3 linked regions of the Lonchura striata genome follow. The protein of the gene in region 3 interacts with the protein of the main gene of each other region in a pairwise test. Links are inferred from orthologs where the notes say so. Each region holds a gene or a part of one and is shown on either strand. Other genes may lie near its edges.

What was found.
Region 1: the proteins of USP2 (region 3) and DTX3 interact in binary tests that used the Homo sapiens proteins (3 or more experiments, as listed by UniProt). The link is inferred for Lonchura striata from reciprocal best matches to the Homo sapiens genes USP2 and DTX3.
Region 2: the proteins of USP2 (region 3) and NEFL interact in binary tests that used the Homo sapiens proteins (3 or more experiments, as listed by UniProt). The two-hybrid records come from large-scale screens. The link is inferred for Lonchura striata from reciprocal best matches to the Homo sapiens genes USP2 and NEFL.

Annotation. Positions count from the first base shown.
Region 1 is NC_134629.1:5,163,951-5,167,693, forward strand, and holds the start of DTX3 (putative E3 ubiquitin-protein ligase DTX3), read right to left. Parts: upstream 2,625-3,743; 5' UTR 2,579-2,624; intron 1,546-2,578; exon of another isoform or gene 1,535-1,545; 5' UTR 1,491-1,534; coding exon 1,478-1,490; intron 1-1,477. Other genes in the region: PIP4K2C (phosphatidylinositol 5-phosphate 4-kinase type-2 gamma), read right to left, coding at 3,661-3,741. UniProt on the Homo sapiens protein: Regulator of Notch signaling, a signaling pathway involved in cell-cell communications that regulates a broad spectrum of cell-fate determinations.
Region 2 is NC_134634.1:2,828,461-2,832,203, forward strand, and holds the start of NEFL (neurofilament light polypeptide), read left to right. Parts: upstream 1-789; 5' UTR 790-825; coding exon 826-1,875; intron 1,876-3,443; coding exon 3,444-3,568; intron 3,569-3,743. UniProt on the Homo sapiens protein: Neurofilaments usually contain three intermediate filament proteins: NEFL, NEFM, and NEFH which are involved in the maintenance of neuronal caliber.
Region 3 is NC_134625.1:9,114,898-9,118,640, reverse strand, and holds the start of USP2 (ubiquitin carboxyl-terminal hydrolase 2), read right to left. Parts: upstream 2,574-3,743; 5' UTR 2,338-2,573; intron 1-2,337. UniProt on the Homo sapiens protein: Hydrolase that deubiquitinates polyubiquitinated target proteins such as MDM2, MDM4 and CCND1. Isoform 1 and isoform 4 possess both ubiquitin-specific peptidase and isopeptidase activities.

The sequences.
Region 1 (3,743 bases), on a different chromosome or scaffold from region 3:
GACACCCCAAATCGTCAGGGGATGGAGATGGACCCCCAAAACCTCCTGAGCCTGGGCCCCACCTGCACCATCACCTGGCGGCCCCACTGCACCCCGACATCCCTGACAGCATGAACGGCCCTGGGGGACCCCAAAACTGCCAGGGACTGGGCACGGGACCCCAAAACTGCCAGGGACTGGGCACAGGACCCCCAAAACTGCCGGGGACTGGGCATGGGACCCCAAAAGTGCCAGGGACTGGGCACAGGACCCCCAAAACTGCCAGGGACTGGGCACGGGACCCCAAAACTGCCGGGGACTGGGCATGGGACCCCAAAAGTGCCAGAGACTGGGCACAGGACCCCCAAAACTGCCGGGGACTGGGCACGGGACCCCAAAACTGCCGGGGACTGGGCATGGGACCCCAAAAGTGCCAGGGACTGGGCACGGGACCCCAAAACTGCCGGGGACTGGGCATGGGACCCAAAAACTGCCAGGGATTGGGGATTGGACCCCAAAACCGCCAGGGACTGGGCATGGGACCCCCAAAACCCCCAGGGACTGGGCACGGGACCCCCAAAACCCCCAGGGACTGGGCATGGGACCCCAAAACCCCCAGGGACTGGACCCCACTGGCACCATCACCTGGTGGCCCCCACACACCCCAACATTCTTGACAGGACAAACCCAGGGGGGACACCCCAAAACCATCAAGGGCTGGCCATGGGGCACTTTGAACCCCAAAATCTGGGCATGGGACCTTCAGAGCCTGGGTACAGAGCCCCAGAATCCTGTGAGACCGGATATGGACCCCAAAAAACTCCCAGAGTCTGAGCATAGGACCCCAAAACTTCTGACACTGGGCATGGACCCTCCCAAACCCCTCTGAGACTGGATATCGACCCCAAAAAAGTCCCAGAGATTGAGCACGGACCCCCAAAACTTCTGACACTGAGGATGGATCCCCCCAAACCCCTCTGAGACTGGGCACGGGCCCCCCAAAACCCCTCTGAGCCAGGGCATGCACCCCCAAACCTGAGTTTGGGCATGGACCCCCAAAATCCTCTGGCACTGGGCACTTCAAGACCCCAGAGCCTGGGGACTGCGGGTCACCCCAAAACCCAGCGAAATCTGAAGGTGAACCCCCCCAAAACCCTGCCAGGCTGCCTGAGCCCGGGCATGGCACCCAGGGGGGCTCCTGAGGGGTCCCAGAGCCCCCTGCCCCCCTGGGGACGCTCACCCCCCCAAGGTGCCACCTCAAGGGTCAAACCTGTCCCCGTGCCCCGAATCTGGGACACCCCGGGGGTGTCACCACACCGTCACCCCCAAGGGTGGGGCCAGGGCTGGGGGTCCCCAGCACCCCTGAACCCGGGGGGGGGTCCCACGGGTGAAGGTGCTCCAAGGGGGTCCCACAGCCCGGGGGGAGGGGGTCCCCAGGGCACGGGGGGGAGGGGGTCACAGGCCGGGGGTCCCCAGAGCGGGGGGTCCCCACACCCACCTGGTGAGCCCATGGGGGACAGGAGCCGAGGCGATCAGCAGAGCCACGAGCCCGGGGCTGGGGGGACACGGGGGGACACGGGGGGTCTCAGATGGGCCCCTCCACCCCCAGACCCAATTGGGGGGGCTCCTCAACCCCTCTGGACCCCCCCCGCACGGCACCCTACAAAAACAACAGCACCACCACCCCCCGTGTCCCCAGGGGACCCCACAGCACCCAGAGGACCCCACAGCACCCAGGGGACCCCGCGGAACCCAGGAGACCCCCGTGACACCCAGGGGACCCCGCGGCACCCAGGGGACCCCCGTGACACCCAGGGGACCCCACGGCACCCAGGGGACCCGGCAGCACCCAGGGGACCCCGCGGCACCCCCAGCCCCCACCAGCCCTTCGGGGGGGCAGCGGCTCCGGGGGTCCCCGGCCCCCCCAGACCCGTTTTCCCCTCGCTGCGAGGTGGGGCCCGCGGACCGGGGGGGATGAACGCGCCGCGGCCCCCGGTGCCCCCCGGTCCCCCCGGTGCCCCCCGGTGACCCCCGGTGACCCCCGGTGACCCCCATCCCCCCGAGGGCTCCACGGGGGACGCGGGGGGGGATGGGCCCGGAATGGGGGGGACAGGCCTGGGGGAGCTGGGGGGTCCCGATGAGGCCCGGGGGGGGCACGGCAGGCCCGGGGGTCCCGGGGGGGGCACGGCAGGCCCGGGGGTCCCGGGGCAGGCCCGGGGGTCCCGGGGGGGGCACGGCAGGCCCGGGGGTCCCGGGGCGGACGGGCGGGCCCGGCGGTGACAGGTCGGGCCCGGGGGTCCCGCGGAGGCCGGGGCAGGCCCGGGGAAGGTCCGGATGAGACCCGAGGGGGAGCCGGTGAGTCCCGATAGGGCCCGGGGGGGTTCGGGGGTCCCGGTAAGGCCCGAGGGGATCGGGCAGGCCCGGGGAGGGGCCCGGGGGTCGCTGCGGTGCAGGCAGGCCCGGGGCGGGGGCGCGGGCAGGGCGAATGGCGGGGCCGAGCCGGGGCGGGGGCGCGGCGGGGAGGCCGGGGGGAGCCGGGGGGAGCCGGGGGGAGCCGGGGTGCCGCTGTCCCGGGTCCCGGTCCCGGTCCCGCACCCACCGGGCCCGGGCGGGCGCAGCATGGCGGGCGCGTCCGGCGGCTCACGTGACCGCGCGGGGCGGGGCCGCCATGGCAACGGGGGGCGGAGCGTTACCATGGCAACGGGGGCGGGGCCGCCATGGCAACGGGGCGGAGAGGGACCGCCATGGCAACCGAGGCGGGGCGTCGTCATGGCAACGGGGGCGGAGCCGCCATTGCAACGGGGGAGCGTCGCCATGGCAACGGGGGCGGGGCCGCCATTGCAACGGGGGCGGAGCATCACCATGGCAACGGGGGCGGGGCGACGCGTCTGGGGGCGTGGCCAGAGCGGCGGGGGCGTGGCCTGCAGCCGGGAACTGGGGGTCCCCGGGAAAGGGGGAGCCGGGGTTGGGGGGCGCAGGGAGAAAGGAAAGGGGGAGCAGGGGTTGGGGGGCGCAGGGAGAGAGGAAAGGGGGAGCAGGGGTTGGGGGGCGCAGGGAGAAAGGAAAGGGGGAGCCGGGGTTGGGGGGCGCAGGGAGAGAGGAAAGGGGGAGCCGGGGTTGGGGGCGCAGGGGGCTCCGAGGGGCACAGGGAACCGGGCAGACGCGGGGCCGGTTCAATAATTTATTTCTCGGTACAGAGCACGGGAAGGAGCCCCACAAACGGGGTTGGGGGGGGACACGACACGCGACACTCCCACAAATGGGGGGCGGGGGTCCCGTCCCGCCCCCCCCGGGGGTCCCACCAGGCCGGGGTCCTCCCCTCCCCTGCCCCCCGGGAGCTGCAAAAAGGGGGGGAGCTGTGGAGCCCCCCAGGTCCCACGCGGAGGGGGGCAGGGAGCGTCCCCCAGCCTCCCTGGGAAGAGGGGTGGGGGCTGCACCCCACCCGGGCAGCCATGACCGGGGGGTCCCTTTCACCCCCCCATGGGGCAAGTAGTGTTTGACCCCCCCCCCAGCTTTGGGAGGGGTCCCAGAGCCCCTTGTGCGGGGGGGGCACCCCAGAGCCCCCCGGGACCCCCGCACACAGAGTTAAGGCACTTGAGCAGTGAAGCCCCACTGGGGGGGGGCAGGGCGTGCCGTGGGGTTTTGGGGTTTTGGTCCCGCGGGAGGGGCCCCTGGGCCCCCTCAGGCGAAGATGTTGGTGATGAAGTCGAGGAAGCGCTTGGCGTACTGCTCGGGGTGCACCGTGGAGATCTCGGCCCCGGCCT
Region 2 (3,743 bases), on a different chromosome or scaffold from region 3:
GGAAAAAAAATATACTATTTACACATCTGGAGGTTCTGAGTTGCAGCCAGGGTTGGGTGTCCCTCAGCCTCACCGAGGCAACCTCAGCCACAATGAATGTGCTGGAGCTTGCAGCACATTCCCGAAGCTTCTGCCAGGGCAGCTGTGGAGAAGCAGAGCCGGGGTGTTAAACACAGCCTTGGCAGGCTGCAGGGTGCAGATAGACCTGAGGGGAGCTGGATCTGAAAGGGCCCCGAAGGGGGGCCGGGAGATGCCCCGGGAGGGCCCAGGCTGTGCCCAAGGAGGGCTGAGACAGGGCTGAGAGGATGAGGTGGGGCCGAGCCCAGGCTGCTCCGGAGTAGGCCGGTCCCAGCTCCCCGCGCCCGCGGGGATGCTCGGAGCTGTCCGGGCATCCCTTCCCTGCCGTGATAGCCAGAGCTGTCCGGGCATCCCTTCCCTGCCGCGATGCCCGGAGCTGCATGGGCATCCCTTCCCTGCCGCGATGCCCGGAGCTGTCCGGGCATCCCTTCCCTGCCGTGATGGCCAGAGCTGTCCGGGCATCCCTTCCCTGCCGCGATGCCCGGAGCTGCCCGGGCATCACTGGGGCGAGGTCCTGCCCGTGCCGCTGAGGCCATCAGAGCAGTGAGGGAATGAATGCCTGCATCACTCCGGGCATCCCCTCCCGGCGGCGGTGCCTGGACCGCTCCGGGCGTCGCCTCCCCGCCGCGGTGTCTCCGCGCTCCGCCCCGTCCCCGCCCGGCGGCCGCACCGCCCGCCCTCCCCGCGCATAAATATCGAGGTGCGGGCGGTGCCCGCCGCAGAGCCGTCTCCGGAGCCCCCGCAGCCATGAGCTCGTACGGCTACGACCCGTTCTTCCCGTCCTACAAGCGGCGCTACGCGGACAGCCCGCGCATCCATGTGTCGGTGCGCAGCGGCGGCGGCTTCGGCTCGGCGCGCTCCGCGTACTCCAGCCTGTCCGCGCCCGTGTCCTCCGTGTCCGTGCGCCGCAGCTACGCCGCCTCCAGCGCCTCGGGCTCGCTGCTGCACTCGGTGGACAGCCTGGACCTGAGCCAGGTGGCCGCCATCAGCAACGACCTCAAGTCCATCCGCAGCCAGGAGCGAGCGCAGCTGCAGGACCTCAACGACCGCTTCGCCTGCTTCATCGAGCGCGTCCACGAGCTGGAGCAGCAGAACAAGGTGCTGGAGGCCGAGCTGCTGGTGCTGCGGCAGAAGCACGCCGAGCCCTCCCGCTTCCGCGCCCTCTACGAGCAGGAGATCCGCGAGCTGCGCTTGGCCGCGGAGGAGGCGACGAGCGAGAAGCAGGCGCTGCAGGGCGAGCGGGAGAGCCTGGAGGAGACGCTGCGCGGGCTGCAGGCGCGCTACGAGGAGGAGGTGCTGAGCCGCGAGGATGCGGAGGCGCGGCTGCTGGAGGTGCGCAAGGGCGCGGACGAGGCGGCGCTGGCGCGGGCGGAGCTGGAGAAGCGGGTGGACAGCCTGCTGGACGAGCTGGCCTTCCTCAAGAAGGTGCACGAGGAGGAGCTGGCCGAGCTGCAGGCGCAGATCCAGTACGCTCACCTGTCCGTGGAGATGGACGTGTCGGCCAAGCCCGACCTGTCGGCCGCGCTGCGCGACATCCGCGCGCAGTACGAGAAGCTGGCGGCGCGCAACATGCAGAACGCCGAGGAGTGGTTCCGCAGCCGCTTCACCGTGCTCAGCGAGAGCGCCGCCAAGAACACGGACGCCGTGCGAGCCGCCAAGGACGAGGTGTCCGAGAGCCGCCGCCTGCTCAAAGCCAAGACGCTGGAGATCGAGGCCACCCGCGGCATGAACGAGGCGCTGGAGAAGCAGCTGCAGGAGCTGGAGGAGAAGCAGAGCGCGGATATCTCCGCGCTGCAGGTGAGGGGGCGTGGGCTGGGATGGTCCCTCAGGGGACGAGGGTCGGGGTCCATCAGGGGAGGGGATGAGGGGGTGTGCAGGGCTCGGCAGGTCAGGAGAAGCTGGGGTTTGAAAGGTTGTGAGGGTGATGGGGTTTGGAAGGCTCTGCAGGTGAGGGGATGATGGGGTTTGGAAGGCTCTGCAGGTGAGGGGATGATGGGGTTTGAAAGGTTCTGAAGGTGAGGGGATGATGTGGTTTGGAAGGCTCTGCAGGTGAGGGGATAATGGGGTTTGAAAGGCTCTGCAGGCAAGGGGATGATGGGGTTTGAAAGGTTCTGAAGGTGCGAGGGTGATGAGGTTTGGAGGGCTCTGCAAGCGAGGGGATGATGGAGTTTGAAAGGCTCTGCAGGTCAGGAGAAGTTGGGGTTTGAAGGGTTCTGAAGATGCAAGGACGATGGGGTTTGCAGGACTCTGCAGGTGAGGGGATGATGGGGTTTGAAGGGTTCTGAAGATGCGAGGGTGATGGGGTTTGAAAGGCTCTGCAGGGGAGGGGGTGATGGGGTTTGCAGGGCTCTGCATGGGACAGGGCTCAGGTTTTACAGGGTTCTGCAGGTGAGGGGTTCCAAGGTTTTCTGGGTTCTGCAGGTGAGGGGTTTCAAGGTTTTCTGGGTTCTGCAGGTGAGGGGTTCCAAGGTTTTCTGGGCTCCGCAGATGAAGGAATGGACATTGGGGTGTGAAGGATTCTGGCGGTGAAGGGGTGGATGTTGGGGTTTGAAGAATTCCGCAGGTGAGGGGGGTCAGGGTTTGCTGGGCTCTGCAGGTGAAGGGATGAATGTTGGGCTTTGGAGGGATCTGCAGGTGAGGAGATGTCGGGGTTTGAAGGGTTTTGCAGGTGAGGGGGGTCAGGGTTTGCTGGTGAGGGGAGTCGTGGCTGCAGAGCCTCACAGATGAGGGGATCGGGTTTGGGGGCGTTGTCGGGGGCATCTCTGCAGATAAGGCATCCTGAAATCCCAGTGCAGAATGCCACAGAGCTATAAAGGAGGATGTGGTGTGGAAATACAGACCCAAATCGGGATCTGAATTATCAAAATCATCCCAGACATTAGTTCTGGTACTGCTTATCTAAAGTGTGAGCTGTTATAAAATCAGAATGCAAAATGCCCCTGATAAAGCTCAATATCCATGTGTCCATGTACTGATGCAGCCAGAACTATACCAGAAAATCATGGAATCCCAGAATATCCCGAGTTGGAAGGGACCCGCAAGAATTAACAATGGATATCCCTAAGCTAAAATTTAAAAAAAGTACATAAAGGTCAAAATCAAAATGAAACAAAATACAGATTTCACTGTGCTTTAGCACTTGGGTACCAGAAAATTTGGCTTTTTGTGTTAAATAGAACTGGAATAATGTGGGGTAGAAAACCTACCAAGAAGGTGTTAAATGATGCTGTTTGGCTGAGAGTGGGAGCTGTGCAGTTTCTGCCTGCTAGAGCAAGATTAAATTAAAAGGATTGGAGAAATTCCCTGTGATTATTGCTAGGCTTGAGAACAGAATTTTATGCTGTCAATGTTGTTCCATCCAACAGGATACAATCAACAAATTGGAGAATGAGCTGAGAACCACAAAGAGTGAGATGGCTCGGTACTTGAAGGAATATCAGGACCTGCTCAATGTGAAAATGGCCCTGGACATCGAAATTGCAGCTTATAGGTATGGTGGGGGATGTTTTAATGAGCCAGAACTCAGAGCACTTCCCATTCTCTTCAGGAGAATTCAGGTTATTTTTCATCGCCCCAGCAGAAATTTTCATAGGTCTGGGGCAGTTTAATCAGTTCCTCTCTATGTGCACACAGAATTTTTAGCTTGGCAATAAATGATCTCAGTT
Region 3 (3,743 bases):
CACGAGGAGCCACCGCGGGTCACCGCCTGCCTGGCCCTGCGGGGACACAGCCTCCTGCTCCGAGCCCCGCGGGCTCCGCGTGGAAACGCCCCGGGAATGCTTCAGGGAGGGGCGGTGAGGGACGGCAGCAGCCCCCGTGGGCTCCCACGGGCAGCCTGGCTCTGTCCCGGCCGCTGCTGCTGCTGCCCAGGGAGCAGCCGTCCCACCGCGGACAGGGAAATATTTACAAGCAGCAGCGAGGTGGAGCGCACAGACCTGTTTGGGGACGGAGGCTGAAGGGTGAATAATCTGCTCCCGGGCACGGGAGCCACGGAACACCTGGCTCTTCCCAGCCTGGCTGCGGCCGCCCTCACCAGGAGCGGGGCTCTGCCAGTCGGCATTTGACACGGACAGGGAGTGGGACCCCAGCCAGGAGACTGGCATTGAGTGCCAGGATGGGAGTGACGGAGCCCCTGGGCTCCCAGGGAGCACATGCCTGGCTGCCTGCCCTGCTGGGGCACGGAGCAGCCTGGCACAGGGACTGCCCCTACTCCCCATCCTCGTCGCCAGCAGAGATGATCTTGGCTTGGGACAGTGCCAGGAGAGCCCCATGCCATCATCCCCTGCCAGGTGCCCACGCTCTCTCCTGGCACCGGCAGTGCCAGGAGAGCACAAGTTTGGGAGCAGGAGGGCAGCAGGTGCTCCTGGCAGCAGGACAGGTCTCCACAGGGCAGCACCTGCCCTGGGGATGCGGAGCAGCCGATGGAGGGATGCAGGGTCAGGAGCGGGCACCGGCCCCGGCCACGGGAGCTATCCCATTCCTTGGGAAGAGAGGCCTTACCATGGAGGAATGTCACATCTGCCAGGCTTGCCTGTGCTTCCAGGTCCCCATGTCACATCCGAGCGGACCCCAGGGCGGTGGGAGAGCACAGCGTGCCAGGAGCCAGAGGAGCTGAGGGGGTGTGAGAAAACCCCGGTTCCTCCCAGCGCTTCCTGGGCTGCCTGGCCCCTCCCTACCCGTCATTGTGCTGAGCTTTCCTGCTGCCTGGCAAAGCCCTGGGGCCAGCACGGCTGAGTCAGGCCGCCTGCACCCTCATCATCCTCCCGGGCTGTCAGGGGAAGCTGAGGCACAGGAATGTCCGGTCTGCGCTCACGGGCCCGGCGGGAGCGGTGCCACCACACGGGAGCGGGACACACGGGGCTGCTCGGGGCGCTGGGGAGTCCTGCCCTGCCCTCCCTGGGAATCTCAGCTCAAAGTGAGGAGGCAAAACCCTCACTCTGAGGCAGAAAAGCAGAGGCCTGCTCTGTCCCCAGCTGCCGTCCTGCCCGTGCCCGGTGGCAGGTGTCCCCTCTGTCCTGCCCGTGCCCGGTGGCAGCTGTCCCCCTCGGTGGCCACGGAGCCCCAGAGCGGGCTCGGCTCAGCTTACACAGCGCTGGCTCCATCCAAGGTGTCACAGCACAGCTGCTTCTCGCTTACGCAGGCTCAGAGCCGTCCCCTGAGACACAATGTCCCGGCCTGAGGTTACGTGGGGGCTCCCGGGACTCTGCCGTGGTGGAGGCAGAGAGGGGACCCTGTGTGAGGCACTTTGCACGCTCCAGAGTACAAGTGCTTTGGGGCTGAGGGGCTCTGTGTCCAGCTGAGCGAGGTGGGACAGCCTCCTGCCCATTCCCCAAGGGAAACAAGGCACAGAATCCCTCCAGGTATCCATTTCCCTCTAGGAAGGCTGACCCCGAGCAGCCCTGGAGGGAATGAGCCACAAAATGTTTGCTCCCTGGAGGGGACAGGAGTGACCCTTTCGACAGATGGGGACTGCAGTGCCTCTGGCACAGCCTGGCTCCTGCGTTCCCCACCACTCCCACCCCACAAAGTGACAAGCCCTGCCCAAGGTGACTCACCCAGCCTGGCCAGGGTCCTTCCCCTGCCAGCCCTGGGCCTGAGGAACCCCCAGGCTCACCCCACACAGCCGGGAGTCACCACCCTGGCCCCGCTCCCTGCTGCTGACCCATCCCCACCCTGCTGCAGAGCCTGCTGCTGCTGCTCCCGGGCCACCCCCCAGGCAGCAAAACCCCAAACCCACGGGGGACCCTGACGTAAGACCCAGGGCATGAATTACTGCTTTGAGTCTGTGCGTGCCAAAAAAAAGAAGGGACCCTCGGGCAGGAGGCTCTGCCCACGCTGGGGAACGAGGAGGGTGCCGGGGAGGGTGGCTCAAAGGCAGGATTTTGTGTGTGAACTCAGAACCTTCTCCCTGGAGAGAAACCTCTCCCCCGGGCTGTTATCCGGCTGCAGGAAGAGCGGGACAGTTTTGTCTGTCTCCGTGTCCCCCTCCCCGGGGCCGTGTCCCCACCTGCACTCACCTGCATGTGGCACGGGTGGCCGATGGCTGCTCAGGACACGGCGAGGGGTGACCAGCCAGGCATTCGGTGATGCCCTCGGCGCTGGTCCTGCCTCCTTGGGGAGCTTGCCCCGGCACCGGAGATGGGCAGCAGCCGAACCCTTCGCAGGGGACAGGACGCCCCCGGCTCAGCCCCTCCACGCTGGGAGGGAGCGCAGTGGCCGGAGGGGGCCGAGCCCGAGGGCTGTGGGGCCACGTAAAAACACCACCGCAGAAATTCAGGGCTCGGGTTACCAGGCAGATAAATATAGTGTCTTTATCTGACCTCACAGGGCGCTGAAATGCTCCTCTCGCATTCCAGCTTGGGGAGGCTTAAAGGGGACGCGAGCCCGGGTGGGCTGGTGGCCCTCGGCAAGGGGGTGCTGCCAGGGGAGGCTGCGGGGGCTGTGCGGGGTGGAGCAGGACTAAGGGTAAGCGTGAGGGACGGAGAGATTTGGGGAGGCAGGTCGAGGTCCAGGAGGCGAAGGATAGAGGGAGGGTTAAGGGAGGGAGCGGTGGTGGGAACACCGCTTGGTGCGTGTGGGGCAGGGAGGCACAAAAAGGGGCGTTGGTGGCTGCCAGCAAGGTTTGGAGTAGAGCATCAGGGTGAGGGGAGGAGCTGGACTGGGTTTTGCCCCCCCCTGGGATGAGCTGTAGGGAGAAGAGCCCACTAAACCTTCAGCAAAGGTGGGTGTGGGGCAGCTGGCGTGGCGTGGCCGCCCCTCGTGGATCCATGGGGACGCCTGACCCGCCCAGGCTACGGCACCTGCGTGGCCGTGACTCAGCGAGCACCTGCCGAGGATAATGGGGAGGGATGTAATTAGGGTGGCATCTTCCTCCCTCCCTCCCTCTGGCTCCAGCCCTTAAACAGGGAGGGGCGCGTCGGGGCGTCACTCTGGGAGGTGGCGCAGGGTCACCAATGGTGTCAGGGGGTGGTGGCTGAGTCCTGCTGGTGGCTCCTGGTGCCAGGGTGGCATCTTGACGCTGGGCAGGGCAGTGTATGGCTGCTGCAAAGGACATGAGAGGCCTTGGCAGCCCCCAGGCAGTGTGTGGGCACAGGAGCTCCAGCAGGACCCTGGTGTGATGGGCACAGGAGCCCCAGCAGGACCCTGGTGTGATGGGCACAGGAGCCCCAGCAGGACCCACGTGTGATGGGCACAGGAGCTTTGGGACATGTGCACACCCAGCCCCGCTCCCATGGCCACTTCCATCCCTGGCAATTCCCTCCCCAGAGGATGGAGGGGCCAGGGCCAGACCTGGTCCCCTGCTGTGCCTCCCTGCCACCATGGTGTCTGGGATGGAGCTGGGGGTTTAGGGACGGGGATGGGGACAAAGGGTCTGGGAGCAGGGGGCCTCACTCCAGATGGGCAGGAGGGGGTTGCCCTGCCC